Linked DNA regions of Arabidopsis thaliana. The protein of the gene in region 1 interacts with the protein of each later gene in a pairwise test. Each region holds a gene or a part of one and is shown in the gene's direction. Other genes may lie near its edges.

What was found. Proteins that work in one complex are often made in the same cells at the same time.
Region 2: the proteins of AT1G51355 (region 1) and HDG1 interact in a two-hybrid assay, tested with the Arabidopsis thaliana proteins (one large-scale study listed by BioGRID).
Region 3: the proteins of AT1G51355 (region 1) and UPP interact in a two-hybrid assay, tested with the Arabidopsis thaliana proteins (one large-scale study listed by BioGRID).

Annotation. Positions count from the first base shown.
Region 1 is NC_003070.9:19,037,927-19,045,163, forward strand, and holds AT1G51355 (cyclin-dependent kinase inhibitor SMR3-like protein), read left to right. Parts: upstream 1-3,470; 5' UTR 3,471-3,548; coding exon 3,549-3,899; 3' UTR 3,900-4,488; downstream 4,489-7,237. Other genes in the region: AT1G51350 (ARM repeat superfamily protein), read left to right, coding at 1-61, 153-313, 390-668, 759-812; DABB1 (dimeric A/B barrel domainS-protein 1), read left to right, coding at 6,282-6,914. UniProt on the Arabidopsis thaliana protein: Probable cyclin-dependent protein kinase (CDK) inhibitor that functions as a repressor of mitosis in the endoreduplication cell cycle.
Region 2 is NC_003074.8:22,628,799-22,637,615, forward strand, and holds HDG1 (homeodomain GLABROUS 1), read left to right. Parts: upstream 1-1,532; 5' UTR 1,533-1,970; coding exon 1,971-2,141; intron 2,142-2,219; coding exon 2,220-2,428; intron 2,429-2,511; coding exon 2,512-2,629; intron 2,630-2,699; coding exon 2,700-3,386; intron 3,387-3,480; coding exon 3,481-3,579; intron 3,580-3,670; coding exon 3,671-3,871; intron 3,872-4,273; coding exon 4,274-4,451; intron 4,452-4,675; coding exon 4,676-5,043; intron 5,044-5,681; coding exon 5,682-6,077; 3' UTR 6,078-6,357; downstream 6,358-8,817. Other genes in the region: FUS6 (COP9 signalosome complex subunit 1), read left to right, coding at 1-97; AT3G61160 (Protein kinase superfamily protein), read left to right, coding at 7,411-7,473, 7,580-7,738, 7,831-7,923, 8,024-8,083, 8,166-8,438, 8,523-8,597, 8,683-8,739. UniProt on the Arabidopsis thaliana protein: Probable transcription factor. Promotes cuticle development probably by modulating the expression of the downstream genes BDG and FDH, possibly repressed in a CFL1-dependent manner.
Region 3 is NC_003074.8:19,954,130-19,960,992, reverse strand, and holds UPP (uracil phosphoribosyltransferase), read left to right. Parts: upstream 1-1,917; 5' UTR 1,918-1,986; coding exon 1,987-2,124; intron 2,125-2,143; exon of another isoform or gene 2,144-2,236; coding exon 2,237-2,338; intron 2,339-2,425; coding exon 2,426-2,504; intron 2,505-2,734; coding exon 2,735-2,793; intron 2,794-2,883; coding exon 2,884-2,961; intron 2,962-3,051; coding exon 3,052-3,133; intron 3,134-3,240; coding exon 3,241-3,289; intron 3,290-3,365; coding exon 3,366-3,427; intron 3,428-3,590; coding exon 3,591-3,658; intron 3,659-3,730; coding exon 3,731-3,786; intron 3,787-3,880; coding exon 3,881-3,928; intron 3,929-4,009; coding exon 4,010-4,079; 3' UTR 4,080-4,403; downstream 4,404-6,863. Other genes in the region: AT3G53910 (malate dehydrogenase-like protein), read left to right, coding at 547-568, 769-1,028, 1,093-1,137; AT3G53890 (Ribosomal protein S21e), read left to right, coding at 4,944-4,993, 5,108-5,240, 5,346-5,411; AKR4C11 (NAD(P)-linked oxidoreductase superfamily protein), read right to left, coding at 5,822-5,908, 6,008-6,256, 6,346-6,621, 6,790-6,863. UniProt on the Arabidopsis thaliana protein: Uracil phosphoribosyltransferase (UPRT) that catalyzes the conversion of uracil and 5-phospho-alpha-D-ribose 1-diphosphate (PRPP) to UMP and diphosphate.

The DNA of each region.
Region 1 (7,237 bases):
AAACGTAAAGAACTCTTTTATTCAGACGTTAAGGCTCAAGGACTTGCTTGTCTCATTAGTGGTAAATCATTCTACGAGTCTTCAAACCAAAATCATATGATACATCTGTATGATTTTTTTTGTTAACTAACAAACAAACTCATTGCACTCAGATCCTGAGCCCCCAGTGCAAGAGCAAGCTTTGGCCCTCCTCCGTAATCTTGTTGATGGATGTATCAGCTCTATCGAGTTTGTATTTGATGAAGATGGTCTTATCTTAGATACTGTTGGGAGGCAATTGAGGAAAGCTCCACAGGCACAAATGGCAATACAGGTGACAAAATTGAAAAAAGTATACCTTATCAATAGATTAACAAAATCTCTGATATAAAATGTTTTTCTTTCCCCAGGGAATGTATGTGCTCACGAATGTAGCGAGTGGGACTGAGTTACATAAAGAAGCGGTTATGGAGCAACTGTTTCCTCAAGCTAAAGCTGGATCAGAGAATTTCATGCTTAAGTTTTTGCAGAGCGACGAGAGCCAGTTACGGTCAGCAGCAGTCTGGACAATCATAAACCTCATTAGTCCTTCAAGCCCCGGTGCATTTGATCGGCATGTGAAATTACGGAATGCGGGTATCATTCCCCAGTTAAAAAACATGGTCAATGACGCTTGCCTCGATGTTAAGGTACAAATTTATTACCCTTTTAGTTACCTTGTATACTCTACCTCTTATCATTGACTCAGCTATGTTATTTCAATCTCTTTGGCTTTGCAGATTCGCATCAGGACTGTATTAGGCCAGTCCATGTCTTTTGGCGATAATTACTAAACACAGCGATATTGCTTTTCCCAAACACACAGACCATACAACACTGAACATATCAGTAGTGATTTAGGTTTGATTCAATTTTCAGCATATAGCAAAAGAGAGACAGAGCCTAGAGTTTATGATCATGATTCGTCTATTATCTCTCCTGCTCCAGAGACACACCTATGATTCAACAGGTACTTGCTTTCTCAGGCTTGTTCTGTTCATTTCTGGTTACCCAAAATAGCCATAACCGTAACTGGAACCAACCGTAACTGGAACCGCATACACCAAACAATTGATCAGAGCATTTTGAAAGCAGAATGCTAGGATTTATTCATTTGCTATACCATCTTTTTTTCTCGATCAAAATTGGTTAAATGAGATTTTATGTATTTCAAATTCTGAAAATGTTCTTTTCTTTTTAACAAAACAGTTTTTGTATTATGTGTGCAGGTGAAAGCAGTGAGAAGGAGTTGTACTATTACTTTACTTGTGCCACTTTTAGATTAGATCCACCACATTTTTGTTTTTCTTTTAATTTTTTGCCTTGAGAAAACTTCACTTGTTTCATTGTTTGAAATCTCTCAGTTTATAGAAAAAAACATCTGTGTTTTTTGTATCAGTAATAATTCTTTGCCTCGTCGATACCAATGTCCCAAATTAATCTTTTATTTTGGCATTTTGGCGTTCAAATCACGCATGACCTATTATTAACTTTCGTGGCAAAACATAAAATTAAAATGGCTTACTACAAATAATTGAAATATAAATAATACTGCGATTACATATAAAGGTGTTATACACACCCTTTATTCAATGTATTTTTAACCACCGAAATGGTTAGAATTTGGCAGCATAAGCAGTAGAAAACAACAACTACATTGAGTATATTTGTTGTCGATGTTCTGTCTTGTAGTCATTTAATTTGAGAGCTATTGTATCAGTGCACCGCTAATTTTTTTTACTGCACCGTCTAAAACTTTTTGTCATAAACCAGACAAATGGTATAGAGACGTCTATATAACTACTAAAACTTGAACTTGGTTTTGAAGAAAAAGACTAGCTCTGTAATATACTAATATGTTTGTCTTTATGTAAAATGGCCTTTGAGAATCTAACTCGCCGAGTCGCCGTATGTGCACAGTGAATCCTATGTTTTGGATCCCATGATGAGATCCAGCCTCGACCACTGTGTACTTTCTTTAGGGATATAAGCTTTTTTTTTTGCAAGATATAAATATTTCTCTCGTATAAACAAAAAAAATGGTTACGAACAGTTACCACAATTGTAGAAATTCATACTTGTATATACACATTTTAAAATTTGCAGAGACAAGAATCTCAACTAAACCCAAAAAAGGTTAGTTGGTTTTGGTTAAAATAATAGGGTTAGTTGGAGTGTAAAGAACCCCATGCATTTATGCATTAAATTTAAATCCCATTCCACCCCACGTGAATTTATATTATTGCATCAAAGTATTTTGTTAAATGATATTTTATTCCGCCTGTATTATGCAGTTTTTTTATCTTTTTATTAAGAAAAAATATCTTAAGGCTAAACAGAAACAATATGTAGCAATTATAGTTACCACCTAATACCTCCAATAGGTAGTGTTTTTGAAGACAAACATATCGTAATCATCAAATGTGAGACTCTTCTCTCGGGAACTCTCTCTTCTTTTAAGTATTTTTCTTTCTCATTTTTAGTTAATGGGAGACTGTAATTGTCTTGTTTTTTGTTAACTAATACATAGAGGTTTAAATGTTCTAAGCTGTGGATGTAATTGAATTTTATTATTTAAAATAGTATATGTATGTGACAGCATGCCTACATATATATGAGTAATATTATACGCAGTATAAACTAATTTTTTGTTATATAGTTTACTTTTAACTAACGGTGTTCACATGCATTTGAATATATATAACTTACACATAATGTTTAATATCAGAGATATATAGTGTTTGTCTTTTACCGCAAACTTAAAATGCATTTGAAACAACAACACAACAAATAATTTCTTCCGTAATTTGATTCCATCTTTTTTTGAGAAAATTAAAGGGTTTTCTTCTTAATTTAATATTGTTGAAAAGATTGTATTGGTACATGTTAAAAGGAGATCTACATGCTGGTTTATTTTTCTTTATCTTCTTTTTTTGATATATTCATCTAGATTCTTTTAGCTTATTAGGGGACAACCAATTAAATAATACCGTTTTCAAATATCATTTAAAAACATACTATCATTAGGAAAAAAAATCTTGATAAATAGTTTTATTATTAAGGAAAATCATATTGCGTTAATCGTATAAATAGCATTTTGACAAAAAAAAAAAAAAAAAGGATGGAAAGTTAGAAAAACGACTAATGACGAGATAATTGACAATTCTAAATTTCTAAGACAATATTATTTTATCATATGTATTTCTTCTTCTATGAATATTTAAATAAAAAGAAGAAAATAAAGCGTACCCATTTCACATTTCATGCATTGATCGTCCATCAAAAAGAAACCCTTTCTCTTTAGTTTCCAAATACCAAGCAATCTCTTCTTCTTCTTTTTATTTACCTTTTTCTTTCTTGGCTTTTTCTTCTCCTCTGATAGAAACTTTTTCCAGTCAAATTTAATAACTTTAAAGTAAAACTCCCACTAAGGTTTATACACACTCTTCATATATAGATTCACATTCACCCATTTCTCTTCTTTTTTGCTCTCTCTCTCCCTTCTCTTCTCTCTTATTCTGGTCTCAAAAATGGCATCAAAAGGAAAGAAACCACTAAGAAGAACAACTACAAGAAGAAGAAAAAGAAGCCACTTCAAGAACCCATCTCCTCCATGTAGTATCAATAGTGACGTCACTTCAACGTCATCAACATCTACTTCACCCACATCAACGGCCACGCCATCTCCGGTTTCAGCAGAGAGTGGATGTTGTACTCCGGAGAAGTCACGAATACCGGAGATGCTGACGTGTCCACCGGCACCGAAGAAGCAAAAGGTGGCGCAAAACTGCGCTTTAAGGAGGAGACAAATCGCTTTCTTTGCTCCTCCGGATGTAGAGCTCTTCTTCGTTTTCGCACTTGGTCAACAAAATAATAAATAAGTTAAGTTTATAATTAGGGTTTTGTGATTATTATCATGGTATCAATATCTAGTTTCTAGTTTGATTCAAATACAATAATATTTAAAGTATATTATAGAGAGTGTAGTGTGAGGTTTTGCTTCTTTTCTTCTTCTTCTTCTTCTTCTTATTTTGCTTTTCTCCCTCCTTGGCTCTTTTTTAATTTTTTCGATAATTTTGAATTAGGTGGGTTTGAATTTCTGGTAGGGTATGATTAATCAAATACCCTATCTCTTTTTTAGTTAAGTATGTAAGTGAATGGTGCTTCCTAACATTTCAGGCTTGTTAGCTTTGCAGTTTCTATTTTGGGTTTGTATTTTGGCTTGAGTTAATTAGGAGTTGGATTGTTCTTCTTGCATTTTACCTCAATACTTTATACGTAATCTCATCAAAAACAATTTCCATACAAAGTACTTCTGAATCCATTTCCTTTTTATTGGGTACATCAGAAATTCATGAAAGAACACCAATTTTATCAGAGTGAAGAGCTCAAATTCAAAACTTTTGATCCGAGTTCAAAATATGTCAAGTTTCCTAAGAAGAAAAAAGGTCTATAAAGCCAAAAAAATAGTGGATGCAGAATAATATGTACACAAAAGTTTTGGATATAATCCAAAGTTATAAAAAGATTCAACTGTTTCTTATTGGATATAAAGTTCATAAAGATTGAAAAAATTACATCTCAAATTTGTTTGGAAATTAAAGAAATTACCTTATAATAAGTACTGTAATTATATAAACTGAATTTAGTTAATAAGTAAAAGTGTTAAAACAAAACAAGAAAAAAACAAGAGACGAAGGATATGTCAGTTTAACCAAGGGATGGCCAAAGTGGTCGGAGCTGACGATAACATCTCCGAAGGGAATCCAATGAAAGGACTCGTGCGGCTTTTTTCATCATTTTTTCTCTTTTCTTTTCTTTTCTTTCTCCACACAATTCCTTTTAAGAGCAAAGTTAATAATTACAAGTTATAACGAATGTATAAAACTATATCTCTATATATAGAGTAGGTAAGAAGAAGACGACACAATAGCTACGTTGATAATATCTACGTGAATTATTAATTCGTCTTTCCCATCATTTTAATCTTTTCGAATTATTGCTACACAAAATCTTCAGACTTCAATAATGTGGATAAATGATAACATATGACGTACGAATCTCATGATTGAGAATTAGAAACTTACACCTCTACGTGCATAATTTATTCGTTTCGACGTCAATTAATAGGTTACTTGAGACTGTACAACATAGATGGGAGAATCTGCAGTACAGAAAAATCATAATGTTTTGCTAATATATTTTAGAAGATATTACACTTGCAATATTTATTATTATTTTTTTTTCGTTTTTTTCCAACGAGTAGCTTTGTTACATGTGTTAAATATATTCATTTAAACAGATGGAATTTTGATTACCTTAAGAATTTTCTGCATAATTAAGTTCTGTTAAACTCTAACTATTGTATTTCTGTTGATTTTTATTTCATAATATTTTACTCTTGTGTTTATCAATTAATAACATTTCTTCCGTACATGAAACCGTGTTAAATGTCAATCAATTAACCTTTTATCCAAAGTACTTTCACAAAATAAAAAGTAAAAATTTTAAACAATTTTTAACGGCGTATTTGGAACTGAGGTTACTCCTAATAAGTGGCCAAGTCCCAAGTATGTAGGCTCATATGGCTAAGGTGGCCTAATTTCAAATCACACTCAACGAAGTTCTTCCATAGGTTACGTACAATATTATACTAGTTCTCATCATAAAGTAGTTTTAAGGTTAAAAAAAACCTACGTATAGGTGGTGGGAGTACTAGTTACTAGCTAGTATAAGAAAAGTATTCGTATACATATTTGTGTGCAAGGAAGATCTCGCACGGGTGCATATTATCACACACGTACAAACAAAAATCCAATTAGGTACCTAAAAGCTACAAATCACCTTGGAATGAGGATTTGATTCGAGTCCGTATCAATTTCTTTTTGGTTTCTCTTTTTGTCTTTGTATTATTATTAAATTATACGTCGTCCCAAAATAAACACCAAAAAATCATTAAACTATGAAATAAAGTAAAATATTATTAACTACATTGCTAAGATAATCAAGTAACCAAATAAATAAAGCTAATCGTACGTTTATGTCAAAGCTAATCAAACTTTACAAGAATCCTAGGTTCCATTCTCCCCTACAAACAAACACTACATGTGAAGTGTATAAATATAATGGGCTTGTAACAATCCGTAAGTTACCCATTAAGGCCCAATTACAATAAATATCAATTTCTCTCAAATTGTTTCAAATTTAAAAATAAGTGGCCAAAGTTACGAAACCAATCCAATCTCTTCTCCGTCGTCGTAACCATGTCTTCAATCGTCGAGCACGTCGTTCTATTCAAGCTCAACGACGACGACGTTGACTCCGGCAAGATCAACTCCATGGTCAACGGAATCAACGAACTAGTCAATCTCGACCAAGTGCTTCACCTCTACTGCGGTTCAATCCACCGCCTTATCACGACCACCGCCTCCGACTTCACTCACGTCCTTCATAGCCGTTACAGATCCAAAGAAGATCTCAACGCTTACGCTATACATCCCGATCACGTTCGTGTTGTCAAGGAATCAGAATCGATTCGCGAAGATATCATGGCCGTTGATTGGATCGCCGAACAAGCTCCGGAAGCCCTAGCACCGCCTCTTGGTTCAATTGGTAAAATCACGCTTCTTAAATTGAAAGAGAATGTCATGGAAGAAGCGAAATTGGAGATTATGGAAGTGATGAAGGAGAAATTTGAAGGAATTGATCAGATTACTGTTGGAGAAAACTTTTCTCCGGGGAGATCTAAAGATTTCTCTATTGGATCGATTTCGTATTTTAGGGATTTGGGTGAAATTGAGGCTGTGGATGATCAGATGAAGTTGCAGAATGATAAGATTCGTGATTATGTTGATGATACCATTGTTGTTGAGTTCAATGTGCCGTCTTCTTCATAAGTCTTCTAAGTGTACCTGTAAAATGCTCCAATTTCATTCCTTAACCGAAATTTTAAACCAGTTTGGTCTCCGGTGTAATTTCGTCGATTACAGTCGTCGTCGCCGCCGCCGCCGCCGTATGTATTAAATAAAATCTTTTTTTATTCAACACATTTAAAAGCTCATTTACGTCGGTATTAATCATATTAGACCAAGACCAACTCGGTTTCATAAGAGTTAAGATGAAACTAGAAGCACGAACACTACACACCGTTTTCATCAACCCCAACTGAGAGATAAACGGCAAGGCTTTCGCAATTGAAATTCTCACAGTGGTTAAAGGC
Region 2 (8,817 bases), on another chromosome or scaffold:
GATGGGAAACGAATTCGATAGAGATGTCAGGGCGATGCTGTTAAGAGCCAACCTCCTGAAACATGAGTATCATGCCAGATCGGCAAGGAAACTTTGATGACATCTGCTTTGCTAAACTGAGAGGTAATGGCCTATTCCAAGATCATAAGATATCTGTTAAAATTTAATTTGGTTTAGTTACTGGTTAGCTTTCTATCTGACCTTCTCTGTTCTCTAGTTATCGCTTTGTTTTGTCAACTTTTAGTTTAAGATTCTTTGAATTATCTATGGACTTTGAATGAAATCCCGAGTGTGAATCTATAGACGCATGAATCACACTGAAAGTGAAATGGTCAAAGAGTACAGACATAAGTACACACACTTGGTTTCATGGGCCGATATGATTTATGATCTTTGTATGCATGTGGGTGGTGGGATCAAAAATCTCATCTCCCAACTAATATCCATTTCATTTTGTCAACTAAACGTCGTATATTATATGATAGTTTGTGGCTTTGTGCACAGTTGTCACTCTATAGTTGAAGACTTTTTTTTTTCTTATCTACAAGAAATAATAATCAAAACGGTTAGGTCTTTTTTTTATAAGTAGAATCTCGAAAATTGCAAAACCAAGATTTGATGTCGGCAAACGCATCATGTAGACTAAGTGTGAACTTTTGATTTTCTTGTGTCAAAGAACTTTTGATATTAATCACTCGATAGCTACGTTTCATCATTATTAGTTTCTTCTATAGAATTTTTATCACTGAATGGGATAGTTCACATTATCTGGTACTATTATTTTTACTATTGCAAGTAGTTCTTTTCTATGCATTTCTTTGAAGTTGTTCTCTTTGTAGTTTGAGGTATCTTATATATATATATTTCTATATGTTTGTGTTTGCCAGGAATATTCAAGGGTGTTTTTTCAAGATTCGAACCAAACGAGAAATTGGGCAAGATTACTTTTTTGTAAGAACCAAGTGTTTCAATGAGTCGATGACATTTAGAGTAAGTAAAGGTTTTATTCTAAGATGGACAGTCCATTATTAATCAACTATTGAATGATATTGCCTTTTAAATGAGTCTTAGGTAGCATCGCAATAACTCCATGTTTACTCAAAACTCACAAACCATGAAGTTAAGAATCCGCCAAATTTGGAAGATGGGCCAACTCTAAATTTACTCACCCCAATACTCCATTTATTTTGGGTTGCATTGATGAAAGTAATTTGTATAATTGATAGGTTGTGTATCAAAAACCGGATCTCATTATTTGTGATCTTTGCATTAGTTATTTTTGGAGACTAATAACCATCTTTCTAAACTGTGAGTAATACAAATATAAACAACTTCTTGTTCGCTATGGAAAATAAAACATAACTCTTTAGGTACGATTCACGATGCAAAAACAATAGTCATCGTGAATAAACATGTCCGAAATACATGAATTAACAAATGAAACGCTCAACAAATGAATTGACAAATGAAACGCTCAACAAACGAAGAATCTCACATCCCATGATGAAATTGGGATTTACAAATAAAAAGTAGCACAAGAAGAAGGGGGTAGAACAGTAATTTTAAAAGAAAGACAGCGTTGATTCACCACTTGAAGTGGACTTTTATAGCAAAAAGAGTTGAGTAACGTCAAAAGAGTCAAACCCAACTTTTCAAAGGTTGTGTAAGGCTTTCCATGACTCCACATCTTCTTCTTTTCCCTTTTTATCCTTTTCTCTTCTCTCTCTTTTATTTTTTCTTTTGAAGTAAATTAATTTCACGAAACAAATCAGAGAACCTTTTATATCTTCCTTTTTCGTCGTTACTATCGTCCTTTACCTTTTTCATTTACTGTTCTCTCTCTCTCTCTATCTCTATCTCTATCTTCTATTCATGGACATGCACCGAAGCGACAAAGCTTAGGGCTTTTCTCTCATCCATGGCGGATTTCTTCTATCTTCATTAAATATTTCCCTCTTTATTAAAATCTCATGAATTTCAACGGTTTTCTCGACGACGGTGCTGGAGCCTCAAAGCTACTCTCTGATGCTCCGTACAACAACCACTTCTCTTTCTCCGCCGTAGACACCATGCTCGGAAGCGCCGCCATTGCTCCTTCTCAGTCTCTTCCTTTCTCTTCTTCAGGCCTCTCTCTCGGACTCGTAAGCTCACTATCTCCTCTTTTAATCTTCGATTTCTTCTTCTTCTACTACTTATGATAATCTCTGTAAATTTGGCAGCAAACAAATGGAGAAATGAGTAGAAACGGAGAGATTATGGAGTCAAACGTAAGTCGTAAGAGTAGTAGAGGAGAAGATGTAGAAAGCAGATCTGAAAGTGATAACGCTGAAGCTGTCTCCGGTGACGATTTAGATACCTCCGATAGACCTTTAAAGAAGAAGAAACGTTACCATCGTCACACTCCTAAACAAATTCAAGACCTCGAATCGTAAACTCACTATACACAAAATCTCCATTTACACTTCTACGAATCGTTTTGATTTTTGATTTTGATGAATCCTCCATTTTTAGGGTTTTTAAAGAGTGTGCACATCCAGACGAGAAGCAACGTCTTGATCTTAGCCGTCGACTTAACTTAGATCCTCGTCAAGTCAAGTTCTGGTTCCAGAATCGTCGTACTCAGATGAAGGTTTTTAGCTTCGAATCGCTAATCTTTGTTTTCTGGTTTCTTTGTTTTGATTTTTGATTTGTTTTTACAGACTCAAATCGAACGACATGAGAATGCTTTGTTGAGGCAAGAGAACGATAAGCTTCGAGCTGAGAATATGTCTGTACGCGAAGCTATGAGAAACCCTATGTGTGGTAATTGCGGCGGACCTGCCGTTATCGGTGAGATCTCAATGGAAGAGCAACATCTGAGAATTGAAAACTCTCGTCTCAAAGATGAGTTAGACCGAGTCTGTGCCTTAACCGGTAAGTTTCTTGGCCGGTCTAATGGTTCACATCATATACCGGACTCAGCACTTGTTCTCGGCGTTGGTGTTGGTTCTGGTGGATGTAATGTTGGTGGTGGTTTCACTCTCTCTTCTCCGCTGTTGCCTCAAGCTTCTCCTAGATTTGAGATTTCTAATGGAACCGGTTCTGGTTTGGTGGCTACGGTTAACCGTCAACAACCGGTTAGTGTTAGTGATTTTGATCAGAGATCGAGGTATTTGGATTTAGCTCTTGCGGCTATGGATGAGCTTGTGAAGATGGCTCAGACACGTGAGCCGCTCTGGGTTCGAAGCTCGGATTCTGGTTTTGAAGTGCTGAACCAGGAAGAGTACGACACAAGTTTCTCTCGGTGTGTTGGACCAAAACAAGATGGGTTTGTCTCAGAAGCTTCTAAAGAAGCTGGAACTGTTATCATCAATAGCTTAGCGCTCGTTGAAACCTTAATGGACTCGGTGAGTAGTTACTAAAACACTTAATTTTAGTAATGAGCTTAATCCAGCAAAAGTTCTAGAAAGTACTAATCTTTTGATACAATGTTTTTTATAGGAACGGTGGGCGGAAATGTTTCCTAGTATGGTCTCAAGAACTTCAACCACAGAGATTATCTCTAGTGGCATGGGAGGGCGAAATGGTGCACTTCACCTGGTATGTAATTATGCGTTTAACATTTAATTAACACATATAAAATCTTAATTCAACAAATGGGTCTTTTAATGTTTTGTTTTTGGTTAATTAGATGCACGCAGAGCTTCAACTGCTGTCTCCACTCGTGCCGGTTAGACAAGTGTCGTTCTTGCGGTTCTGTAAACAGCACGCGGAAGGTGTTTGGGCAGTCGTGGATGTCTCAATTGATTCCATTAGAGAAGGTTCTTCTTCGAGCTGTAGAAGATTACCATCCGGTTGCCTCGTACAAGACATGGCCAATGGCTACTCAAAGGTAAAATTATTCTTTCTGGGTGATGATTATTTGTAATAGTAGTATACTGTATAGTTTTAACTTTTCACCTTTAGGAGTTACCCTAGTGTTGGTTGGTTCACATTTCTCTAGGAACCACAGGCAAGCTCTTTGTTTTTGTCCGAGAAATTATGATAAAGGTTTCTTATGCATTGGGTTTATAACTTTAAATTAACTTATGCATTGGAGTAGGATTATTTTATTGATCAGAAGCATCTAAATATCTCCGAGTTCTGTGCCCTTGGATCGTGCATTAATTTTTATCATTACACGTTCATAGAAGTTTTTCTCTTTGATTATCATTAATTATGTGTTAAAGCTGACATTAGACCTAAAAAAACGATTGTGATAAACCTAACGCAAAATAGTTTAAGAAATTTGCAGGTAACATGGATCGAGCACACGGAGTATGACGAAAACCACATCCACCGTTTATACCGCCCATTACTCAGGTGCGGTCTAGCGTTTGGTGCGCATCGATGGATGGCTGCATTACAACGTCAATGCGAATGCCTCACGATTCTCATGTCCTCCACTGTTTCCACTTCCACTAATCCATCCCGTAAGCTCCCTCAAACGCTGCGTTTCTGATTTATTTTGTAGAAATATATATTTGTTTGTTGTTGTTGACGTGATTCATATCTTATCCTACCAGAATAAATAAGATTTAATAAATAGTATGAACTGTTGACTGAGTCACAAAGAAAAAGATGATAGCTGTTGATTCTGTAATTATCAAACTATATAGTTTAATTAATCTTTTTTTGGTTATATTAATGGGCACAGCTATAAACTGCAATGGGAGAAAAAGCATGCTAAAGCTAGCGAAGAGGATGACTGATAATTTCTGTGGAGGGGTTTGTGCTTCGTCGTTACAGAAATGGAGCAAACTCAACGTTGGCAACGTCGACGAAGACGTTAGGATAATGACTAGGAAGAGTGTAAACAATCCTGGCGAGCCGCCTGGGATAATTCTAAATGCGGCGACGTCAGTTTGGATGCCGGTATCTCCGAGGCGGTTGTTTGACTTCCTTGGAAACGAACGGCTTAGATCGGAATGGGATATCTTATCCAACGGTGGACCAATGAAAGAGATGGCCCATATAGCTAAAGGCCATGACCGTTCCAACTCCGTCTCCCTCCTCCGTGCCAGCGTAAGCATTCATATTTATTACACTTTCTATTTGCATGCGTAAGTAGCTAAGCTAATCTCCAAATTTTAGTTTAGGTTTTGGTGAATTTAGTATTTTATAAACATTAGATGGTTTTGGAAAACTTGAAATTTTAGTCGGTTTAGTTTTTTGTTTACGGTTTTCAACTTTTTCTGATTTTTTTGGGTTGGTTTTAGATAAATTAAAGTTAAACCGACTTGTGTGGACATTGAATATTTGATCTATAAACAGTGTATGAAAGGACTTTGTTGTGTTGTGTGACCCCAGGATGGTGTTGTCATATGAATCTTGTCGCGTGTGATTGGAAAGTGACAAATCTAGAATTTGGAAGTATTGTGTGATAAAAGTCAATAGTAATAAGACATTTTTGACCTTTTTCTTTCCTTTTTGGCTCCGACGTTTTGAAAAATCCTCTGTTTTTTTCTCTCTTTATTTCTGCATTATTGGTGTCTTTTCTCCGTTGTACCCCTTGAGCTTTTTCTGGCTTGTGACGGTGACACTGTAAAAGTCTCCTCGTTCATCATCTTTTAATTTATTGTTTCCCCTTTTGGGATTTATAATTTTCTCTTCTACCACCAAAGTTTCCATTTATTTAATTTTGTTTTGATTTTTTCATGCAGGCGATAAATGCGAATCAGAGTAGTATGCTGATATTACAAGAGACAAGCATAGACGCTGCAGGAGCGGTTGTCGTGTACGCGCCTGTTGATATCCCAGCAATGCAAGCTGTGATGAACGGTGGAGATTCTGCTTACGTGGCACTCCTTCCTTCAGGATTCGCCATTCTCCCTAACGGTCAGGCTGGTACGCAACGCTGCGCCGCAGAGGAACGTAACAGTATTGGTAACGGTGGGTGCATGGAGGAAGGAGGGTCGTTACTAACGGTGGCGTTTCAGATACTGGTGAATAGTTTGCCTACGGCTAAGCTAACGGTGGAATCTGTGGAGACGGTTAATAATTTGATATCGTGCACCGTTCAGAAGATTAAAGCTGCTCTTCATTGTGATAGCACCTGATCATCGAGATCAGACGATGGAGGAGATTGAGTCAAGAACGAACCTCATTTTGTGATGAATCCGTTTTTGTGATGGTTCGGGTATTGACTCGATGAAATTTAAAAAAAAAAAAAAAACAAAGAATGTTGTAATTTGGATCGGTTTTATTTTGGATCATGTCGATGAAATGTAATTGTTTCTTGTTTCTCTTCTTGTAATGACTCGATAATATCGGGACAGCATTATATGAAACACACAAGTTTTTTTTAGGGGAGCTCAAATAATTAGTTATAAGCAAAAACGTATTATCATTTTTTTGGTTATAAATCAAGGCAACCAGAAGCACAATCCGTGTTTACTTTTGTGGTAGTTTATAATGTGAAAGGATTGGTTTGGACCGTGTCCTTTATTTAATGTTGTTCCAAGTTTACAGTACTTTTCTCAATAAGATGGAAAAGGAACGAACGAAGAAGAGTGAAACACGTGAGTGCATGAATTTAGTTGCAATCCCTTATAGTTATTATATCCATGCAATGTAGACAACTACAACGAAAGGCTAATTGATTAGGTTGGTTTAGAGATTGTTTGATAATGCTAGCCTAGATCCAAAGGTCACATCAGAAGAGACCACAGGCTACTAATGGGCTTTTATCTAAAGCCTGTCATTAACTACTCTATTATGGCTACCAAGTAAGTCTTCTCAAAGTGTATTGGGCCAATCATTAACTAATTTATTGGGCTAGATTTTAAGTCCATTGGAGTATATACTATTATTACAAACGACAATAATATTATTATTACAAACGGGCCGAAAGAAAAGAGTCAAAAGGAAGAGTCAAACTTCCGAATAATCCGCGCGCTTAACGTTCGATCGCCACCGTTGAATGAACAAACGGTCACGATCGTATCTAATACAGATTATTTAATTCCATTTTTTTCTTGTGGGGTGATGATCTCTGAACAGAAATTAAGGGTATGAGAATGATTGATTGGTCTTGGAATTGTGTAATAGACCAATGGCGAGAAATGCCATCTGTTCTTTTTTAGTTTAAGCTATATCCGCTCCGCCGCAGAGATATATATAGATATTTCTATAAATATGTTTTTGTATATATACACAGAGAGTTTTGATTAAGGAAGAAAAATCCTTAGATCATTTTTTTTTTGTTATCTTTGTTTCGTTTTTCTGGTAGAAGAGAGAAGAAGGAGAGACGAATTGGCAGCTAAGCGATTCTCTCTCTTTCTCTCTTTCTCTTCTCGTGTAATCTTTTGGTGTTCTTGAAACCACTTTTTTTTTTGTTAATTCCTCTGTTTCCTTGGAATTGTTTTCTGCTTTTTTAAGAAGAAAAAAACGATGAATGTGGTGCGGAGATTAACGAGTATTGCCTCTGGACGTAATTTCGTTTCTTCTGATAACGTAAAGAATATTGAAACTTTTTGAGTTTTTTTTGTTTGTTTGTATTTATTTTCTTGATTTGGGGATTGTTTAAAGTTGGACTCTTTTGTTTTTGTAACTTGCGTAGGTAGGAGAAACTGAGACGCCGAGATCAAAGCCTAACCAGAATCGTGAAGAAACAGAGTCTACGGAAACTACGTCGTACGAGAAAGATTCTGTCTCTTCCTCAGAGAACTCTGATCATTTACCAAAGGAAATCCGTGAGGTGGGACTTGGAGATGACAAGGTTTCCATTTTTGAGATTTTTTTAGCCTTTTGAGTTTCTGATTTGCTTTGTTTCTCTGATCTTTGAGCTAATGGTTCAAATGGATTTGATAGGATATGGACTGTGGAATCATCAAGGGAAATGGAACAGAATCTGGACGGATTATTACCACCAAAAAGAAGGGTTTGAATGATCAAAAAGACAAGGTGACTTTTCAGTTTTGGCTTGTGTTCTTTGTAATGACACATTTCTAAAATTGTTCTCCATGAAAATCTGTTTTTTTATATATTGTTTGTTATTATGCAGACAATCTCTTACAGAGCTGAACATGTAATTGGCACTGGCTCATTCGGTGTTGTCTTTCAGGTAAATAAAATTTAGACTCGAGATATTTTATTTAGTTGTTTTAAAAATTTGATTTTGAAGTTGATTCCTGGTTTTGATGTAGGCTAAGTGCTTAGAGACGGAAGAAAAAGTAGCAATAAAGAAAGTGTTACAGGACAAGAGATACAAAAACAGAGAACTTCAGATCATGCGAATGCTTGATCATCCTAATGTCGTTGAGCTCAAGCATTCTTTCTTTTCCACGACTGAGAAAGACGAGCTTTATCTTAACCTTGTTCTTGAGTATGTACCCGAGACTATTTACCGCGCTTCCAGATCTTACACCAAGATGAATCAGCATATGCCTTTGATTTATATTCAGCTCTACACCTATCAGGTATTAAGACCGTGTACTCTTTTCTGCATTCAGCTCTATTTTTGACTTTTGGGGTTCTGAGAAACATTTGTTTGTTGAAACCAGATTTGCCGTGCTATGAATTATCTGCATCAAGTGGTTGGAGTGTGTCACCGTGACATTAAGCCGCAGAATCTGTTGGTAAGCACAGCATTTTAAGACTAGTTCTTGTAAAGCTAGTACTACTTTTCTTACTCAATTTGAGAAATGTTGATGCATTTTGCAGGTCAATAATGTTACGCATGAAGTAAAGATATGCGATTTTGGGAGCGCCAAAATGCTGGTATGTTTCATAGCTCTTAATGGGATTTTCAGGGGTTGTTTGTTATATATGAAAACAATGAGTAGTGATGTCTTGTTG
Region 3 (6,863 bases), on another chromosome or scaffold:
GTGATTGTGTAATCTTGTGTGTTTATAATAGTAACATTGGAGATCCTCGAGTGTAAAATGTCTTGTACGGGGTTGTAAACTTATATAGTTATATTACAGTGAAAATAGATATTGTACAAGTTATAAAATCCTAACCACTTGGATAATCTACACATCCTTCGATTACTTTTACAATATAGCTGTATCAATTATCTTGCATTTGTGCAATTATTATATTGAATTTCAATTGAACCAATTATAAAATTTATTATGTAATTTAGTATTATATATTTTATCAATTATAAACAATTCATACTTTTTGCTATTATATATATAAAAAAATTTTAATTTTTAATTTTACTAATTGAAAAAGATTATATCTAACCACCTAACGACAACTCCTTTCTCGGATCAAGTTTTTTCTTGGTTCTTCTTTTCTCGGGGTACTTCCTCTCGGATTCTCTATGTCTCTTAACTCGGTCTAACCCGCTAAAGCTTAGCTCACATGCGGGTCATAAAATCCGATTACCTTTTGCGAAGTATGACCGAGAGTTGAAAGAAATTCGGATGTTCCTTAGAAACTCGGACCGTGAGTCCTTCTTTCTCGTTTAACTTGGAGTGTTCAATCGTCGGGTTGGAAGTGAATCGGATGATAATCACCTTCCTTCTCGTCTTTGTCCTCCGTTTTAAGTTTTTTTTCTTCCGTGAATTCTTTTTTTCTCTTCCTCTTTCGCGGGACTTAACATTTCGAGTTATCTCCGATCTAGGCTTCCCGATCTTTCACTTCAGCATACGCTATGATATCGTTTCTAAAGTCACTCATTCGTGCTCTGGACGGAGATGATGACGTCTTCGATTTTGCTTTTGTGGCCTCTTCGGTCACCGAGCTCCCTTATTTTGCTACGAGGACAAAGATTGGGAAGAAGAGAATTGAGGAAGTGATAGATTCAGATCTTCAGGGACTCGCCAAATACGAGGAGAGAGCGATTAAAGCTATCAAGCCGAGAGTGAAAGTTACCATTGAGAAAGACATCACTTTGCTACAGAGGGTAAGTGAATCTTTCTTACATCCACAAGACATGGTTCTATGTGTGTTGTTTCATCTTTCTCTAGACTTTTGTTGCTATTTCGGTTTACAAACTTTTGATTGTGGTTTGATCTTTCTCTAAACATTTTTTGCTGTATTTGGTTAAAGACTTTTGAGAATCTTCAAACAGGGCTTAGGACTTCTTAATTGTGCCTGAATTCTCAGACAAAGAATCCGTGTCTGGTTTGTACAGTTTCAGAGATTTGTTACAAAAACTGATGAATGAGTTGAAGAGGAGAAGAGTTAAGGAGTCTAGTCTAAATAAGTTTTCAAGTTTATTGTAATAGTAAAACCTCTATAAATTAATACTCGATAAATTAATAATCTATATAAGATTAATAATTTTTTCCAGTCCCGAGTTGGGACTGTAAAAAGTGACACAAATTGATAAATTAATAAAATAATAATTTTTTTGAAAATCCTATGTAAATATATGATCCCATCAATATTATAAATTAGTAATTGTATAAATATAAAATATATATATATCTAATATATTATATGTAAGAAATTTCTAATATTTTTTTGCTTAAACTCGTATTTGTTCTTATTTGAATTTAGTTATAATATTTTACTGTATCAAAACTTTTGATATTGTTTTATAGACATGATAATTATTTTTTACTTGCAATTGGTTTTAGAAAGATATTCTCTATGATGAAAAATATCTTGTAGAAACTTTTAAAAAGTTACTACATTAGAAAACTCTCTATGTAAATTAATAAATTATTTATTAATTTATTCCTTAATTTGTAGATTTCTGTTTGGAAAGAAATTGCTAAAAATTAATATAAAAGCCCAATGGGCCGTGTAATAAGTAGACCCAAAGTTATTCGGTACAGTAGTGACGACCGGTTAATCTTCGCCCGCGCTATCGTCATTGCAAAAATCTCGAACCAGATTCGGACATCTCGTCGAAAATGGCGTGCTCAATTGGTAACGCTTTCAGGTGTTCTTCTGATACGCTGCGTTTTGCTCCCCGACAACAATGCAGCAGCCGCCTAAACCCTAATCCTTCCTCTTTCCTCTCCTTTAATTCCTCCCCAATTCTCGCACAGGTATCGAGTATATATATATATTTATTCTAATGTCCAAAGCACACTTTTCCAGTAACGCCTTTTGCATATTCAAACTGAATTTTGATTTTCGAATTTCTGGATTATTTTAAAGAATTTGGGTGCTTCTTCTTCGTCACTTTCCCGACGGACTATACGAGCTAGAACAAAAATGGCTGCGTCGGAGGCTTCCATTAACGGGAGCAACAGGATGCTGGTAATAAAACTCTAGGATTTCAATTTTCAGATTTTTTTTGAGTTTGATTTGAAAGTGAAAGATGTGAATTTGATTCTGGTGTTTCAGGTCTTTGTGCCACCACATCCTTTGATCAAACACTGGATCTCTGTTCTGAGAAATGAACAAACTCCTTGTCCTGTTTTCAGTGAGTAGATAAGATTCTTATGAGTATTTCTGCGATTTAACCAGTGTTTGTTGTTAAAGAACTGAATTTTACATCCATTTTTTTTTTTTTTTTTTTTGATTCGTTGGACAATCTTTAGCTCTTAGATTGGTGTTATCTGCTACATTGCGTTTGAATATGAGTTTTTTTAGGTTTGCTACTAGTATAAGTCTGTGTTGATCTTTAAAGCTTGAGTTTTTTTAATTATCTAGGGAATGCAATAGCTGAACTAGGGAGATTACTCATGTATGAAGCATCACGAGAGTGGCTGGTGCGTAGAATTTCACATCTCTATTATTCTTGAATTCTTCCTACCCGTTTTTTGCTTATTGTTTTTTGTTTTTTGCTCTATGCGGTTAAGCCAACTGTTGTGGGTGAAATAATGTCTCCAATGGGTCCTGCTTCTGTTGAATTCATTGATCCTAGAGAGCCTATTGCGGTTTGTTTATCCCTCAAACTCTTCCTGTCTATATTTTCTTTTCGACCTTACATGTAAGCGTTTCTAATTCTTGGTTTTGTCTCTGTGTAGGTTGTTCCGATATTAAGAGCTGGTCTTGCTCTTGCGGAACACGCATCCTCAGTTTTACCTGCTAATAAAATTTATCATTTAGGTTAGTAATCTAGCTATATATCATCTCTTGCCTGAACTTCGGATGTCAAAAATGAAAACTTTTATCAAATAGCTTATTGATGTCCCCGTGCTTCTTTTCTTTTACAGGAGTAAGTAGAGATGAGAAAACACTTTTACCATCGGTGTATCTTAACAAGTAAGAACTTCTCTGCAGCATTGTGTTTGTAGTTACTGAAGTGTTTATAATAACACCTTTGATACATCTTCTTTAGGTTGCCTGATGAATTTCCCAAGAATTCAAGAGTATTTTTGGTCGACCCAGTGCTTGCCACAGGTAAGAAAGTCTTATCATTTTAGCCACCTCCATATTAGAAGTATAGTTAGGGTTTGATGTTCAAATGTACACGATAATATGTGAATGTGAACGCATGACATGGTAATACGAATGTTTCATAGCTAGAAGCGTAGGTTTAGTAACTTAGTAACTTGTATTTTAGGTGGTACCATAATGGCGGCGATGGATCTATTGAAGGAACGTGGTTTGTCTGTTCAGCAAATCAAAGTGGTAAGCATATATATAGGAAACAGCTTTTGTCAGAAATCGAAGTGTTAATTGTTTTGATTTTTCTGATTACAGATTTGTGCGATTGCTGCACCTCCTGCACTATCGAAGCTTAACGAGAAATTCCCCGGGTAATCAATAGCAAAAGATCAACTCTCACCTTGCTTACCATTTAGTTAACTCTCTTTTTACTAAACTGTTTGGCTACTATTTGAAACATTTCAGGCTTCATGTATATGCTGGAATTATTGATCCTGAAGTCAATGAAAAGGGGTAAGTCATTAGGTTCTTTGGCTTTCCATATGAAAACTGGCGATTGTATTTTAATGTCCTTATGTATTTGTCATGAACTAGGTACATAATCCCTGGGCTTGGAGACGCTGGAGACCGCAGTTTCGGGACAGAAACACATTGGGTGAAGTGATACTTGTATGAGTTGTTAAACTTTAACAGTCACAATCGTTAGATTATATATTGTGTCTCTTGTACTTTGTTTTTGATGTGTGATTTCAGGTTCTTGAGAGGGTTTCGATAAAGAGTCAAAATTTCACAAACAAGAAAAACTGAATTCCTCATTATTACAAAACAGAGAACAAACTTGTCAACCATTTTATGTGTATCATTCTCAATTGTCTACCACAAACCATTTTGGGAAAAAGTATGCAAGAAAATCTGAAAAATTCATCCATGAAGCAAACATTTGAACCAATAATAAAAGTTTGTTATCAAATTGAATGAACTTAAGTTACTACCAAACTGAACCAGTATTTATGGTTTGGTTACGTTCGATTCCGGTTACAATTAACTGTCGGTACAATTCTGGTTGAAAAAGTTTAGTATTTCGGTTTGATTTAATTTTGTATACCGCTCTAATTGGATCGGTTTTTATTGCTCTTCAATTAAAAGTTGAAGGGTATAGTAGTCATTCCTATGAAATAAGCAAACCCTAGCTCGCTACTATAAATCTAATAAACCTATGAATTAAGCAAACCCTATCTTTGTCGCCGCCAAACCTCTCTCAGATTCTTCTTCTTCCTCGCAGGTGAGAATTTCTCCGTAGTATCTTAATCTCCTTTCACTGTATTGCTAATTAACGCATCGGAATAATCTAGGTTTCGATTTCAGAATTAGTTATCTCGTTGTGTCTTTTGTTGATTATATATTATTGTTGAATGTGATCAATTATTCTTGATGAATCTCTTAATTCGAGGTTCTATTGCTCATCTGATTAGTTTTTTTGTTTGTTTACTTGCTCAGATCGATTTTTTTTTGAAGCTAAATCTCAAAAATGGAGAACGACGCAGGTCAGGTCACAGAGCTCTACATTCCAAGGAAATGGTATATATCAGCTCTCTTTGTTCTCTGTGTAACGTTTGATTAAAATCTTAAGCTAATTGTCTTAATTAAGTAGCCTAAGCTGATTCTATTGTTGTGTAATGGTAATTTGTTTAGCTCGGCAACAAACAGAATGATCACATCAAAGGATCATGCTTCAGTTCAGCTTAACATTGGTCATCTTGATGCTAATGGTCTCTACACTGGCCAATTCACCACTTTTGCTCTCTGCGGATTTGTCCGTGCTCAGGTTTGTGAATTTCCACTCTGCTAATTACTTTATAATCATCTCCACAGTTGTTATAACAAAGTTCATGATTGTATATGTATATTGACATTATGATTGCATCTGCAGGGAGACGCAGACAGTGGCGTGGACAGGCTCTGGCAGAAGAAGAAGGTCGAAGCTAAACAACAGTGAGAGACAATCTGACAATGTCATAAGCTCTTGTTTGTTTTTTGAGGTTTCGATTTATTAGCTATGTGGCTTTGTCATTGAATTGAAAATGTTAGTTTCTCTTTATGCGAATTCATGTTTTCGATTTTTCTGCTTTATTAAAGATAATTATTAGGCTTTGAGGCCAATGGAATCAGATTCTATCTACAGTCTAATACTCGTCTATATTTCTCTTTCAAATATAACTGTTAGATTATCTATCATCAACCTCTCGGATTAGTGATTTACTGTATGAACATAAGAGATTGTTAATATGTCTGCAAAATCCTACTTTTATTGAAAATTGAATCGTTTACACATTCTCGATCAAAGCTTAAAGCAGTGGAACTTTGTTCTTTTTCAACTTTAAAATTCAACAAAAGACATCTTTTGATTCAGATCTCACCATCCCAAAGCTCTTCAAGTGTTTTATAAGGACTCAACGTCTCATGAACAAACGACGTGCCTTGGACTAACCTAGCCTGCACAGAGATGATTCAAAATCCAAAATACAAGAGGTTACAGTTAAGACTACTCACAGATACGAAATTTGCAGAAATGTGGTTTATTGTTTCACTTACCTGCTCTATCTTGGAAAACTTGTCAAACATTTCTTTTGGAATAGACCATCCCAAGACATCAAAGTTCTCTCTGATTCTTCCTTCATTTGTGCTTTTGGGAAGTATACTATGACCCATTTGAAGTCCCCATCGAAGCGCGGTTTGTGCGGGAGACTTCCCGATTTCTTTAGCAATCATTTCAATAACCGGACTCTTTAAAACATCGGCCTTCACCCACGTTGTTCCAGGAGATCCCAATGGCGAATATCCCTGCCACAATCAACATTCACGAAGTGTATATAAATATGACATTCGGACTCATTAAATGATTTGGAAATGTTTAGTGTTTTAAAACTTACTGAGAGGTGGATCCCTTTGGACTTGCAAAACTCATGTAGCTTATGTTGTTGCCATGAAGGATGACATTCCACCTGGTTTACAGCGGGAGGAACACGAGCAGCCTCCACAAGATCTGAGAGTTTCTTTGTAGAGAAATTACTTACGCCAATGGCTCTTGCCTTGCCTGAATCAACCAGTGCTTCCATTGCTTTCCATGTGCTCGGAATATCGATAGGCATAATGTTCTCAGGCTTAAAGTCAACAGTACCTTTCTTCAACCGAACAGGCCAGTGCATCTTGAAAAAAATATCAAATGAAACAAATCAAAGTATAAGCAAGCATATGTATAGTTTCAAATCCAGAGATCCGGACAATTCAGGCTAGATATTGAAGAAAGGAACGGATCTTGAAAACTGTTAGAACTTATTAAAAAATCAGCATTTGTTCAAAGAAGTCGTGCTTACGAGATACAAATCAACATAATCAAGCTGCAGATCCTGAAGAGTTCTGTTCAATGCGTCCTGTACATCCGGAGGGT